Canis lupus familiaris: one gene and its partners. The protein of the gene in region 1 purifies or fractionates together with the protein of each later gene. This does not show direct contact. Links are inferred from orthologs where the notes say so. Each region holds a gene or a part of one and is shown on either strand. Other genes may lie near its edges.

What was found. Proteins that work in one complex are often made in the same cells at the same time.
Region 2: the proteins of SLC7A1 (region 1) and STX4 purify together in Homo sapiens (co-immunoprecipitation; 3 studies listed by BioGRID and IntAct, counting the BioPlex papers as one, with this or other methods). This does not show direct contact. The link is inferred for Canis lupus familiaris from reciprocal best matches to the Homo sapiens genes SLC7A1 and STX4.
Region 3: the proteins of SLC7A1 (region 1) and HS2ST1 purify together in Homo sapiens (co-immunoprecipitation; 3 studies listed by BioGRID and IntAct, counting the BioPlex papers as one, with this or other methods). This does not show direct contact. The link is inferred for Canis lupus familiaris from reciprocal best matches to the Homo sapiens genes SLC7A1 and HS2ST1.

The regions. Positions count from the first base shown.
Region 1 is NC_049246.1:10,397,380-10,402,606, reverse strand, and holds part of SLC7A1 (high affinity cationic amino acid transporter 1), read right to left. Parts: intron 4,223-5,227; coding exon 4,064-4,222; intron 2,253-4,063; coding exon 2,078-2,252; intron 1-2,077. UniProt on the Homo sapiens protein: High-affinity, low capacity permease involved in the transport of the cationic amino acids (arginine, lysine and ornithine) in non-hepatic tissues.
Region 2 is NC_049227.1:17,345,050-17,349,651, forward strand, and holds the end of STX4 (syntaxin-4), read right to left. Parts: intron 3,671-4,602; coding exon 3,562-3,670; intron 3,490-3,561; coding exon 3,413-3,489; intron 3,177-3,412; coding exon 3,039-3,176; intron 2,119-3,038; coding exon 2,008-2,118; intron 1,916-2,007; coding exon 1,835-1,915; 3' UTR 1,817-1,834; intron 1,722-1,816; 3' UTR 1,462-1,721; downstream 1-1,461. UniProt on the Homo sapiens protein: Plasma membrane t-SNARE that mediates docking of transport vesicles. Necessary for the translocation of SLC2A4 from intracellular vesicles to the plasma membrane.
Region 3 is NC_049227.1:61,662,190-61,667,416, forward strand, and holds part of HS2ST1 (heparan sulfate 2-O-sulfotransferase 1), read right to left. Parts: intron 5,120-5,227; coding exon 5,022-5,119; intron 3,747-5,021; coding exon 3,589-3,746; intron 2,214-3,588; coding exon 1,984-2,213; 3' UTR 1-1,983. UniProt on the Homo sapiens protein: Catalyzes the transfer of a sulfo group from 3'-phospho-5'-adenylyl sulfate (PAPS) to the 2-OH position of iduronic acid (IdoA) or glucuronic acid (GlcA) within the heparan sulfate (HS) chain and participates in HS biosynthesis.

The DNA of each region.
Region 1 (5,227 bases):
CTCAGAACTGCCACCAAAGCCATGCAGGCTGAAGCTCCTCCATGCTGTGTGGTTTGGTTGGGAAATACTCTATTATTTCAGAGAGACAAGCAATTTCACGCAAGACTACATGGCCGTGGTTGGAAACACAAATCTATGGCTGAGGGGTTAAAAAAAAAAAAAACGAGAGAAAGCAGTTTATAGGCTTTAATAAAATGAAAGAGCAAGCTATGCTCCAGACTTGCAGCATTCTACCTCGGAGGCAGTGCTCCTGGGGCTGAAGGCAGTACAGTTCATCTCACCAGGACACAAAGTATGAGGACAACCAATGACAGTAAATACCATTGGCTAACATAAACAATATCTTCATAAAAACAATAAAATTCAATCTTGATCGACAACTAAGAAACAAGACATGCCATTTATATTTAATTCCTGATCTATAAACAGCCACCAGCAAGACAGTCACCCCAGGTTTTCAAAATCTAATGTTATTTCCAAGCTTATTTTGAACTGGCTTTACTCTACCCTGAGATAATGAGCATCAATAAATTTGGCATAAATATGACCCAGGAATGCTTAGGAATGCTACATTAAAAATCTTCTTTTCTCAGGGGCACCTGGCTGGCTCAGTCAGTAGAGCATGCAACTCTTGATGTTGGGGTCACGAGTTCAAGCCCCACTCTATTGGGCATAGAGTTTACTTAAAAAAAAATTAAAAGCCCTCATTTCCCTGTAATAGTTTAGTCTCCAAAAGGCAGGCTCTTTTTATTTGAACTGTTAACCACATAATATTTCATGCATTCAACAGCTTCCTGCTTGTGTTCTAGTAGTGAACTAGTCACACATCAATGCCTGCCCAATGACCAAGTTCACGTGTGACCAGTGGGATCCCCAGTGTGGGACCTTGTTTCTCAGTCTCCTTTGCGGCTAGATATGGCCACCTACTGGATTTTCACCAGTGGGATGTTGGCAGAAGGGAAAGGCATCTTCTGGATCTGCCCTTGAAAGGACTGGGCACACTCTTTCCCATACCCTCTTTTCCTCTCCGGGAGGGCTGGATCTTGCCCACGCCCACAGCCCAGCTCTGACCATGCAGAAGAGGACACCATCTTAGGGCAGGATGGAGCAACCAGGTGGACGGTCAGGGTCCCTGAAAGCCTGTGTGCAGCCATGCTGGCCAGTCAACTTGGTCTGCTCATGTCAAGACATCGTTTTAAAATCACTGCATTTCAGGAGGGTCTCCTTATCAGAGCTGTTTAACCTTTGGTCATAATCAAAATAGAACCATAGACAAAAATCTCACTCCCCCTTCTCCATCCTAAGACCCTAAGATTCCCCTGAAAAATTACAAAAGATCAAAAAGATACATTTTAATTGTTTGGCTCTTGTTTCCTAGATAATCTCAGCTTGTTGACGAGGCTTCACTGGAGGTCCTAAAACAGCACAGGTCCAAGGGCTGGCCTGTCACCTGCCTCCAATCCCAAGAGTCTTGAGTCAGAGAACATAAGGGAAATTGGGCTGCTGGTTTTCAGGGCTGATGTACCCCAAGTCGAAGGTAGGAGAAAGAAACTATTACAATCACATTCTGATACTTCACTAATTGTGAAAACCTTTAATAAAAGCCTGTGATAAAAGTTCCATGTATTTCTTCTTCCCTCTATGTTACTAATAGGAAGGCATTTCAAAATCAAGTGATATCACCATAGTTTTGCAGACATAATCTTTTCTGAATATAAAATTCAGAGGTGGGTCATGAAACAATTATGAGGAAAAACAGATTAGTGAGTCTGACAATGATCTTCAACTACATACAGTTTTGGAATTAGAATGAAGATTCTGTTTTCCTGAATATCTTCCTTTATCATACAATGTTCTGTCGAGTTCAGGGAAATTAAACTTAACACAAATTTCAAACCAAAAAAACACCCTCACCACCCTCACCTATTTTACCACAAAAGAATTCAAATTCAAATTTTATTTTTTAAAAAGGCACGTACTATTCTGGCCAATTACAGGCCCCCAATACAGGTGTATGTCATTAAGTACCAAATACGCATCAGCTGTTATAGGCCGAGAGGAAGAAAAAACAACTCACTTGTTCAAGCAGAGATTACTGGATGAGTTCTGGAAATCCTCCTCTGTGAGTTGCCAGTTTTTAATTGATCCTTTCACAAATCCTGACACCATAATGAAGCCCAAGACCAGAACATTGACACAAGTAAATATTTTGTTGACCATGGCCGATTCTTTCACACCGAGAGTTAAAAGTCCTGAAAAAGCACACAAACAGGAAAATTTTGCCTGAGAGTGTGAACTTTGTGCCAGGTAAGTCCTTCCTGGGACAGGGACAGGGATCCCAGGAGAGGGTGACTTAGGAAGAATCCAAGTGGCACCAAACCTCCTAAGATTTCTGTGAGCCTCTGGGAATGGGACTGAATTAATACTCTTTCTAGCCCGGATCAAAATAACTGAAGTTCAGGCGGTAGTTCACAAAGCTACCAACGTTGGCCTTGCAGGTCCCTCTGGAGTTCAGGGTGCCACCCAGGGGGCACCAAAGGACAGCAGAGATGGGGGATACCACTGCCAACCACCCGGAGGGCAAGCCCCTCCCAAGGACAGAGAGGAGGCCCCTCCTAGCACCCTCTCCTCCTCATTAACATACTTTCCTGGACTCCTCTGAGGAGGCAGGAATTTTTTTCTCCAAAAAGGAGACATTTTACTCAGTTTCTTGACAGAATGAGGGTTTTTCAGATGAGAAAATTATTCAGATTCACTCTGCAATGTTTATGGTATTAGCAACAACAACTTCCTGTGATTATGGAAGAACCACGAACCGTGTGGTTCATCTCGGACTTGGCGCACTTAAAACAATGTCTAAGTTAGACTAGTTATAGATCATAAACTCACATGAAAAAAATCAAAAAGACCCAAGTGATAAAAACACATGGAAGCCACATGACAACACTGTCACTGAGGCTTAGCCACATGACCACAATGGGATAAACATGCCATTTGGGGACATGTGTGGCCAAACCCCAGGCTGGGGAGGAAAAGAGGCTTGGACTCCAGGTGACAGGTAGACTACCACTTATGACTTAAGACTGCTGCCCTGCCAGGTACACCTTTCATACACTCAAAATAAAAAAAAATGCATTTCACAATAGAGTCAATTCTGAAATGAAGGCACAAGAAGGGAATTGAGCAATTTATCACAGGGATCACCTCATCATGCTGTGCTCGGGTTTCTCTCTGGCATCCCTCCCTCTCATGTTTATGAAAATCTCACTGGTGCAAACTTCATTTCTGATACACGTTCCTGCCAACTGGACCAGAAATACTGCTGAGACTGGCCTGTGCTAGATGATTTCAATTACGGTGCGGAAAATAAGGCATATTGTTTTTAAAACCCATCCAAGATCTTCTAATCTCAAAGGGGAATTTATCTGTGTTCAGCTTAATGCTTATACAGTAAGTGCCACATGGAACAAAACACACAACCTTGAGGCTGAGACCCAGAAAAACATCACTAGGAAATAGCTGCCTTCAGCCGTGTTTAAGCAATATCTGGAATTTTAAAAGTCTGTGCCCACGACTGTCATGAAACTTACTTCTTTTTAAAGAAGCATTTTGATGGCTATTAGATGTAAAATCATTCAAGACTTCTCCAACCCCCAGGCACAAACTGGTGCCATGGACTGACTTCATCCCCCACCTCTTACCCGCTGAGGAATGCCACTTTCTTTTCCAGACAGTCTTCCACTGAGTCAAGGGAATTCGTATTCCTGGGTCACTTGTACAAAAAGCCTGCAGTATTAGCAAATTCCCACTCCACAAAAAGCTACACAAGTACCTGAGACTCTTTCTTAAATAACTGGCACACGGCTTTGACAGCTAACCAACGCGCCAACGCTGTGTGTATGAGAAGCCGTTAAGACAAACAAGATGTCTGCATTCGTTACAGAAAGAAAGAAAAGGAGGGGAAAGCAGAACAAGGAAAGGAAGAAACAGGCCTCATGGAAACCTGTCCCACACACCTCAGGCCTCTCACTCCAACTGGATGTGTCCCACTGTGTAGCTTTACCTGTTAAGATGAGAATGATGATCACAGCAAATATGTCTGGGTTTTCGGCCAGCACTCCAGGGGCATTCAGAGCCATGTGCGTCCGCGAGAACTCCGCAATGGGTTTGCCAATCAGCTCATCAAATGTCGCACTCCAGGCTCTTGCTACACTTGAAGTACCTGCCACGAGACAGACGCACCAGAGGAAACTGAAGGGAAACCATGAACAGTATTTGGTAGTGAGTGTGCGAGGGTCATGGATGATGCACTGGGGCATGGTGGACTCTGGTGTGTGCTAGCTCAGAAGTGATGCTCCATTAGGTCCTTCAGGGTGGTGACAAGGATGCGGAGGTCTCATGGACCCAGACAGAAACACACTTTCCATCATGACCCAATAAGGACACGTGTACTGTGTTCCAAATATACAACTGAATAGTAAACAGTTTACAAAACAGTGCCATTACCCTTGTCACCTGAGAAGTACTCTGATGGTATTTATTCAACTCCACCTATTTTATTTCGTTATTAAAAGAAATGTTGGCGGCAAACCACGAAGTTGATATTGTAATCTGCTCACGGCTGCAGTCGGCAGATTGAAACACCTGGCTCAGGAAGCTTCTTTTCCAAGATCCCTCCGACCGACAACAGAGCTGATGGTCCCCACCCACCAGAGGAACACTGTTCTTCGAGTAAGATGAGACCAAGGAGATTCACACGTGTAACCCTCACCTCAGCAACAAAGTCACCTGCTCATCCCAGAGCTGGTGTCACCTGACTCAGAGGCCACAGGTGCCCGGGTATCTGACCACGGACACAGCCCAGCTCTCCTCCTCTCCATACCCTGCATCCCCCGGCATAAGGATCACAAACAAATGCAGCACCTCAAATGCCAGTAACTGTTAACTACACACATTCTTTCTTTTAACCTGAATAAAGCCACTGCTTTTCAATGAAATGTCACTAAAATTCCAATATTCACATACAGCATTCTCCTTTATTTTCAAAGGGGGCCTTGTTGGTGACTGTGGTCTGGATCACCCACAAAATTTGGCCAGAGGGAATTACAGAGATTAAATGTTGCTAGTTGGTCTTGTGCTGAGTATTTGTCAAAAAACTCAAAAATGTAACCATGCTTCTTCATCCTCAGAATCTATCTAGCCTATTATGGATTCTGTCCATCAAGGC
Region 2 (4,602 bases), on another chromosome or scaffold:
CGGTGAAGTCCCTGACTCACCTACCCCCGCCAGACTCTCACAAGCCAGTGCCGCCTCCGCCTCCTTTAGAGGTTTGGTCGTGCTTCGCCCTGCGATCCAATCACTTGTGGGTGCGACTGAGGACTCGCCGAGGCTCCTCCCACGTCAGTTCAGGGAGGCTTGCGGCTGAATAGCCACTCCTCACTCCCCCAGGAGGTCCCTGGACGTCCTAGGGACCAATCCCGCTGCTCCTCAGAGGCGGCGTTTACTAGCGCGCCCAATCGTGTTCCACTTGCGGCCAGGCCACGCCCCCTACACGCGGGGCAAAGCGGACCCTCGGACCTGGCGCAGGCGCCTTGCAACTGCCAGGCGAGGGTCGCTCTAAGCCCACTGGGAGGCGCTGCAGGAGGACGCCCAGATGGGTGGAGGCAAAGCAGGCAGGGGTCTCTGGAGCCTAATCCCGTCCTCTGGCTCCTGCCCTCCCCCCCGCAGGTCCAGGGGCTGGGTCCGAGACTGCACCCAGGGCATCGCGTCCACCCCTTCTATGATTCGCGTCACCCAGCACCCACATGTGTGGTACTTTGGCCCGACGGCCCAGGCAAGGGCAGCTTGGAGTAGCAGCGACGACAGCAGCAGCAGGGGCCTGTGGGATCGAAAGCGGGATGGGCTGTGGCAGCTGGAACCCGGCCTCCAGGACTTGATTGGGGTCAGGCGCTGCTCCACTCCAACCAAGCTTCGGAGCCAGGAGCTAGCTTACCCCTTGAAACCAGGTGTCTGGCGACAGGTGCCACACCCAGCTCTGGAAGCTAGGCTTCTGGACTCGGAACTCTTAGAAATTTAGAGTTGGGGCCCAGAGCTCTTAGAAACCAAGGGTCAGGCTCCTCTGTCACCTCTACTGCTTCAGCCACCTAACTCCCTAGAAGCCAGGTGTGTTGATCCGGAGTCCCCAGTGCTTTAAGCTAAACTCTTATGTCAAAGGCTATGCCTTTTTCTGGGCTCTGCCCTGCAGCCTCTCCCCCTGCTTCTTCTCATAACTGGCTCCTCCTCATTTAACAGCCCACTGAAATGTCACCCTTTCTGAGACAGGACTTTCCCTGTTCACTGTATCTGGAGTAACAGCCTCCATTACTCAACGGTGCCTCGTGGCCTCAGGAAGGCCGATGGATGCCCACACACACCTCACCTATGTCCCAGCCTACCAGGCCCAGCTTCACTGCTTTGGGGTTAGGTACTCACAGTAATCCTTCCCCAAGGACAATACTGAGCCAGATGTGGGTGTTAGCCCCTCCCTGCCCACCTGTTCCTAAGGGAGAGTAGAAGGGCAGTGCTAGCCTGCTGTGGTCACAGCACCTGAACAGTCTGATCTGAGTCTTCCTCGGATGGGCCTGGCCCCAAAGATGGCCACGGAAAGAGGAGGCCGCCTACGTAGAGGCCCTGGGCCAGCTCTTCTAGGAACATACATGCACGGGGCAGTCTCCAAGCTCATTTTTCTGTTTGTCTTTTTTTACTTTCTTACAAAACCATGTGTCCCAGCCAAACAGGACGCTGCAGGCCTTCCCCCAGGCATTGTGGCCTGAGTGGAGAAGCCCCCATGAATGAGTGGCTGCCAACCCCAGAAGAACTGTCTGCCCCTCTGCACAGGGCCAGTGTGAGGAAGGGGGTCCAGTTGGAGGCTCTGTCCTGCCCTCCCCCCTCAGCTGCTGGGAGAGAAGGCGGACCCGGGTCCCCGGTGTTCTTAGAGCCTGTAAGGGAAGGAGGGAGAAGAGGGTCTGAGGGGAGGAGGAAAGGCAGGGGCCCAGGACGAGGCAGGCCAGGGGGCAGGCCCACAATAGCTCACCAAGAATGTGCAATGCTCTCAAACCAATGTGGCGATACCAATGATGACTGCCAGAATGACGACAGTGACAGACACACAAATGGCGATCAAGACTTTCTTCTGTGGGAGAGTTCAGGGAAACAAACTCAGAAGGGGAGGGAAGGCAACCAGGGCCTCAGACTAGAGGGGAGGGAAGGGGTGTCAAGGCTCACCTTCCGAGCCTTCTTCTGGTTCTCCAGGGCAATCTTGACATGTTCCTGCCCGCGTTCCACATAGTCTGCTGAGCTCAGGATGTTCTTCTCAATCCGGTTGATCATCTCCCCCTGCTCAGAGGAGGGGGACAGTTCAGGCAGGTAGGGATGACTGGGGGTGGAGAGCCCATCAGCTCCTCTGCTTGCTCACACTAGCTGCCTAAAGGACATTTTCTGGCAGGAAATGCAGCACTAACAAAGGTGTGGGGGTAGGACCACATCTGACCAAAGTGCACACTCCTGAGGGTGGCTTCCAGGATCCCTTTTATTATGTAGTCCCTTCTGCCCTGCTCCCTTACCCCCTACAACCTTCATTTGCAGTGGTGGCTTGGAGCCAAGCGCCTTAAGAAGCTCATACCTTGTCACAGAGGGTGAACTTCTGTCTCTTTGTAAATCTGTCTGAATTTGCTCATTCTTCTAGGCTTGCCTCTCAACAGCTGTGAAGCCCTCCCCAACCCTGCCTCCTCATGGCACTGCCAGCCTTCAGGTCCTGGTACTCCTACTGAATGAAATGCCTTCCCCATGAATCCCAGCTGCACAAGGGCATTGGCTGCAGCACTAGAGGCCGGCAGCTTACCTCACCTCACACAACGGGGGCAGCAGAAGAACACCACCTCCCACCCCAACCTCATTCAGATCTGTGGAGGCATGCCCCCTAAGGAGCATCTTTGAGTAGAACTCTTAGAGGTATAAGGGTGGATTCTATTGGTGGAGGAGGAGCCAGAGTTGGGCTACATCCTGGGTAGCTCAACTGGGAGACAGGGTAAGATGGTGAGTGTAGAGGAGTGGCCATCTGTGTAATGTGGAGGTGGAAGCAATTCTGGGGCTCAGCTACAGATGGGAGTGAGGGCCAGCCTGGGGGCATGGCCCAGCCTGGAGGGGGATGAAAGCCTCGGGGAGAGAGGCTAGAGAGTGGAGATGGACTGACAGACACAGTGGGGTTTCTGACTGAACACGGTCTCACATCAAGCCCAGCCAGCTGTCTTGCCCACCTGCATCTCCACTTCTGTAGCCAGGAAAGTGAAAATCTCATGAAGTTCACGGATGCTGCGTTCAAGCTGCTGTATCTCACTGTGCCGGGCTGAGATCTCATTTAGGGCCTGTCGAGTCACCTGCGTGTCCTTCAGGATCTGGGGAGCAGATAGGAATGGCCAGACAGGTCACAGGGAATCCAGCAGCAGATCAGAAGTTCCTGTTGAGCTTTCAGGCAGCCCTCAGGCTTAGAACTGGGGCCAGGACCTTGATGAGCGACCCTAGGCATGCTAAGTCATTCCCTTCCAGGCCTCTGTATTCCCTCAATCAAAGGGGACCAGGCCTCAGCGAAGATGAGAGTCCCAGAAGAGGGAGGCTAGCCATGACCACTCACATTGGATACAAACACCTCGCTTTGCCCACTGTCCAGCATCTGCTCCAGCTCCTCATCAGACACCATTCCAGCATTTGCTGTGAAGGAAAAGGTCAGGCTCAGAGCTGGGTCAGGTTACCTGACCCTGTAGGCCAGACACCACAACTCACTGATCTTCAGCTGCCTCCGAATCCGCTCCACATTCTTCTCCCGGTACTCGGACTGCATCAAGTTGCACTTGTTGATGAGCTCCACGAATTGCTGGGACAGGACCCCATGCTGATGATAGAAAATATAGGCTGGGCACCCCGGAAGGATTTGGCCTTAACATCCCCATAAGTATAGGGAGCAAACAGCATAAGCTGTTCTAGGAGCCTGCTGCCTTGACCACCATTCTCTCAAGGTCAAAGCCAAAGCCTTTACTAGGGCTTATAAGGCCCTATTGGACCTTCCCTTCCCCATTTCCCCTCTGACTTTATGTCCTCCAGCTGTTGCCTCACTCGCACCCTCTGACCACAGTGGACTCCTTCCTCCCCCCACCAAAGCCACCCCTACTTCAGGCTTTGGCATTCACTGCTCTTTGGGCCTAGAATACTCATGCCTCACAGAGACATACATACATACATTTATTTATTTATTTATTTATTTATTTATTTATTCACAGAGGCCTTTAAATCTTTATTCCAATGTCACCTTCTGAATGAAGTTTTCTCTACCTTATTAAAACTGCAACCTGCCTTCTCCCGTCACTCTCAATCCTCTTCTCCTCAGTTTTTCCCTTAATACTTAACTACCGTCTGGGCAGCCCGGGTGGCTCAGTGGTTTGGCGCCGCCTTTGGCCCAGGGTGTGATCCTGGGGACCTGGGATCGAGTCCCATGTTGGGCTCCCTGCATGGAGCCTGCTTCTCCCTCTGCCTGTGTTTCTGCCTTTCTCTCTCTGTCTCTTATGAATAAATAAATTAAAAAAAACCCTACGTTCTAAAATAGTGGGCATATTTATTATGGTGTGTGTCTCGCCCCACCAGAACATAAGTTCCATGAAGATTGGGCTCTTTGGTTCACTGCTGCATCCTAAACAGCTAGAAAAGGGCCTAGCACACAGTAGGCACTCAATAAATACCTTTGAATGCTTGCTGAACACCAGCCTTGCAGCTTAGACTAAAGGTATGCCTGGAGGTCAGCCCATTGCCCAGCTCTTACAGGTCCGGCTG
Region 3 (5,227 bases), on another chromosome or scaffold:
GTTTACTAGTTTGGTGAGGCCTTGTTCAGAAACAGTATTTATTTAAACTAAACACAGTTTAGTTTAAAGATTAAATTTTTTAGGAAATGTTTCTGAAATTCTTCACCTCTGTTACTCTATGAAGGGTAAGACGGTACAGGGAAATTAAACTCTGCGATATATACCTTGACAACCCAGAGGTATAAAATAGCTACCATTTCTCAATGGTAATGTAAAATAAAAACAGACAAATCTCCCAAATTTGAAGAGTACATTTCCCCTGCCCTGAGTCAGCTAACGAAGTCTTTTTCAAGAACTCAAACCTCCTGAACTCAAGCAGCTGTTCATGAATCTTTAAGAGTTCACAGGTGTTTCATATTTCCAAAGTTGTTGAAACAGGGAAGATACAACATGGAAGATATTTATCAAACATAAATTTATATCAAGATTAACCACTTTTCCAACCAGCTTAGAAGTGGACTTTTCCCTTTCTTTGTCCTCCCCCCCAAAAAAAGAAATGAACGTCATGGAACCATACATGAAAGATGTTTCCATCATCCCTTACTTTTCTAGATCGCGTTAACAGTTTTCAAAGTGCCTTCACGTGCCGTCTTGTTTATTCCTCACAACACCCCTGTGAGGTAGGTACAGCAGGTATTAGTCTCCTCATTTCAAGATGAGGAAATTGAGGCAAAGAGAGGTTAAGTGACTTGCCCAAGATCACACAGCTGAAAAGTGGCAGAGCCGGGACCAGAAATCAAATTTTCTGACTCCTTGGCCAGTACTCTTTCCACTCTGACTACTGCCCCCAATTATGAATAATGTACTGTGTATCAAAATTGAAAGGTTACTGAAGTTCATTTCAGTGATGTCTTAACAGTAAAGTTAAACGAGAACTACAAGAACAGTAGGTCTGATGATTTTACTTGAAATAATAAAACTGGTGCAAAACCACTTTTACCTAATTACTTATAACCTTTTGGTCCAAATACATAAAATATGCAATATTTACAGCATTTTCCTTTCTTTTTTTTTGTAAATGCAATGCTTTAAAACACATTATAAAGCACCTTAGTAAAAATAGTCTACAAGTAAAAGTACAGAAGTAGGGAAATCCTACCCATACCACAGCTCACTAATGAGTCATAATATGGAGTCAAATATGTCAGTTTGCCGCTCTACAAATAACCCATGGAGGAACGTACTAAACTTACTTTTTTGATATTAATGTGTGGAAGCCTTAACTAAAATTCCAGAAAGTGTCAACATTCTTTGAAGTGTCTTCCCAGTCTTAGAGACAGGGGAGACAGGAATGAGAAATACTGCTCTCTTTTAAAATTGGTTTTTAACACTAATGATCAGGTTTGGTTTTTTTTTTTTTAAGAATATTCAAACAACCTACATAAATATGGGCAATTCCAACTATAGCAGAAACATTCTTAGCAAACAGTATCAAACATTCCAATAAATTTCATGAGACATGATTCACAGAAACAAAGCACACACTGCCAAACAGTTAGTAACACTATTCAGTAGAGGTGTATAACCCAAACCTCCAGGTGAAGGTGGAAGGAGCAAATGGATTCATCTTCATTCATGGTTAGGTGAAAAAAACAAAAAGCTTTATCAAAAAGAGAATACCAGAACTTTTTTTGAAATTGTATTTAGCCTCCAATGAGACCTGCTATGTGTTTATTTTTGGTGATGTGTAGGCTTTTTCCAGGCAGGAAATTATAACTCCCACCAAAATTTAACTGGGGGGTGGGGGGAGAAAAAGGAAAAAAGAAAGAAAGAAAAAAAGAAAAAAAAAAGGCAGAAACTTAAACCTCTTAGGCCACTGAAACTTACCAGCCAGTATCCACTTCCTCCGTGTTACTGCCCCCTAACGTGGCTCAATACACATGGTCTTATACACCGATCCCCAACCCAACTTGTGGAGCTGAGTACTAAGGTGAAGACAGGGTCAAGGTTTTAGTTCAAGAACCTAACAGTCACACCTGGCACTCAGTTCGATTTCGGGTAAATCTTTTCATAGAAAAAGTTTTGTGCGAGGATGTAGAGGTCTCCGTCTTTTTCCCGTACAGCGTGGGCTCTGATGAACTGGAACTGCTCTAGCGCAAATTCATAGAACTCATTCTCCATTTTCCAAATGTCAGATTGCTGTAGTTTCGCAATGGTTTGTTTAGTTGGGAGTTTCTTCTCTGTGGTTTTCCTAAGATGAGATTTCTTTCCTACTTACAAAGGAAAAAAAGAAAAGGTGAATAATTCTGAGAACACCCAAAAGAGCGATGCTTCTTTATGTGGAGAGATGGATTGAGTTGATGTGGCACACTGAAGGCCATTAACAACTGTTTTTGCATTAATATCATTCAGGCAAAACTGGTACCCTAATCATACTAGAAATATCATTTAAAAAAAAAAAAGATTTATTTATTTTGAGAGAGAGTAAGTGAGCATGGGGGGGGAGGGTGCAGTGGGAGAGAATCTTTCAAGTAGGCTCCCTGCTGAGTGAGGAGCCCAACTTGTGGCTCAAGTCCCAGGACCCATGAGATCATGACCTGAGCCAAAACCAAGAGTCAAACACTCAACCGACTGAGCCACCCAAGCACCCCTAAAACTGTGATTTATTCTTTTATAGTGTAAATCCTTAACCTGTTAAAGACTTAATGAGGGATGTCTGGGTGGCTCAGTGGTTGAGTGTGTCTGTGTTTGGCTCAGGTCATGATCCCGGGGTCCTGGGATCGAGTCCCACATTGGGCTCCCTGCAAGAAGCCTGCTTCTTTCTCTGCCTATGTCTCTGCGTCTCTCTCTGTGTCTCTCATGAATAAATAAATACAATCTTAAAAAAAAAAAAAAAAAAAAAAAAAACAATGAGATGTCAAATACTAAAAGTAAGGATTACCACTCAGTAAAGCGCAGGCTGTCGCCTTTCATGCTATACTGTTCTAATCTCAAATACTTGGTGCTCTGACTAGTTTAATTTTTCAATATGATAGAATCTCTACTTTCAAACTTAATACTAATTTACCATAACCTGTTAGAAGGTAGGGCATATGCATACTCTAGGAAGAGTTACTATATTGTACCTTACCAAAGAACGGGGGAAAAATCCACATTAGATTGGATTAGAGCCCTGTCACTTCCAGATATGTCATACAGTCGAGGCTGCTGAAGCACATTTCACCAGGACAGACACAGCACATGCTGATCATCATGGGTGGGACTCAGTCTCACCATCCCATCCTTACTCTAAACAGCATTAGGCAGGACTCAGGTGCAATATGGTCATAATGTTTGGTGTCTGGCATTAGCTAATATTACACATTTCTAACTAAGGCTGGTTCTGCAGATCATATCTTTCCACTATCCCTACAATGCCTTCTAACTATCATGTTTATTTGCTCAAAAAATATTTAATGAACACCAGCTGTGTGCCAGGCACTGTTCTGTATTGAAAATGGTTAAGAAGAAACAGGCAATATACATTCCTTTATGCAGTTATTTCTTGTGCTTTGAGTTACTCAAGAAACATCAAATCCCACATATTTTTCAGGTTCCAAACAAACAAAGTTAAAGACAGCTTTAACAAGAAACCTATCCTTTATATACCTGTACGGTAGAGTTCTGTAGCACCCCTGAAGAACCGGGGCAAAGCAGCCTCCAGCAACATGATAAAATCTTCAAGTTCTTCAGTAACTCCCACCAGAAAGTATTCATTAATTAGGTTATACTTGGCTTGATCCATAGCCCACCTGCTTCCCACATTCCTAAAACCAAAGAAAAGGAATTAAAAACCTAGCTGTGAAATCTAAGTATTTTTGATGCCTCTGACACTATATACTATGGAGAAAATAAGCACATGTCCATCCAAAATCTTAATGCCCTTTTATTAATGTCTTTGGTGGGAGGGGAGTTGAAGGTCCTTCCCAGTTCTATGAATCTATGAAACATACTAAAGAAGTTCAATTAAAATCACCTCACTAACGTCCAAAAGAGCAGTACCCTTTTATTGCTCTAAGGCGGGGATTGGCAAACTTTTTCTTGTTAAGTGCCAGAGAGTAAATATCTTAGGTTTTGCAGGCCATATGTTCTTGGTTACAAATATTTAACATTGCTCTTGCAGCATGAATACAGTCATAGACAAGAAGTAAATAAATGGAGATGGCTGTGTTCCAATAAAACTTTATTTATAAAAAACAGGTGATTGGCCAAATTTGGTCTCCAGGTTGTAATTTGCCAATCCCTGTTCTAAGGAAATGATTAAAAATTGAGATGTTCTTCCTATGATTCCAATTCTTTTTATGCTGTTATTATGATCTGATATAGTCTACTGAGTAGGACCTTACAGTTCACAATGATCTAATAACATGTTTCATATAACGAGGAAAAGAAGGCATTCCTTGCATTTCTCATCATGGTTTTAAGGAAGAAATACTAACTTTGAATGTGTTCCTCTTTCTGCTTTTCCTATTAAAATGATTAGAACAAATAAATATATATAAACATGTACTATTTTTTAAAAACTGAAAACTCTGCACATTCAGAGGAAATAAACTCTTCATTAAAGATAAAATTTATTTTCCACCTCACGTTTATTAGCAGACTAAACCATAACCTTGGCTTTTCTCAAGGTAAAAAAATCAGTTAACAGTAAAACCAGGTGAATAATGTACTCACTAAGCCTTTTCTTGATCTAAAATGAGTGGCTAAAACAATAAGCTTAGGAGAAAATGAGGTTTATGAAATGACCCCTGGCCTCTAATTAAGAGCTCTGCTGGAATATAGCAAAACATGGTAATACCAAAAACAATAAATTAAAAACCAGCATCTGTGAAAAGACTGCAAGGATATGATGTATGAAGAATCTTTTCTATGCACTTAAAGGTAACTATAAAACTAGAGATTTAATTACATGCTATTTTTAATCCGGTCTTTCACTAAATGCCCTATATCTAGCCCTTGACTAGTACGTTCACACTTGCGAAATACAGAATACAGAGATAATAAAGAAGATTATCAACTTAAGCTAACTATGTCCCTACCAGCATTCCGAGCTGTGGCCACAGAAGAATGGGATTTGAAGCCAGAGCTTCTCCGGAGCACAGTCTGAGCCGCCTTCAGCTACACACTCATCAAAGGTCTAGAACAGACACAAAGCAACATAGGTGAGCCATAAATGGAGGTCTTAGTTATCAAATACCTTAAAAGGGTAAGTTATGAAATACACAGGCAGCAGCGGGTGGGATGA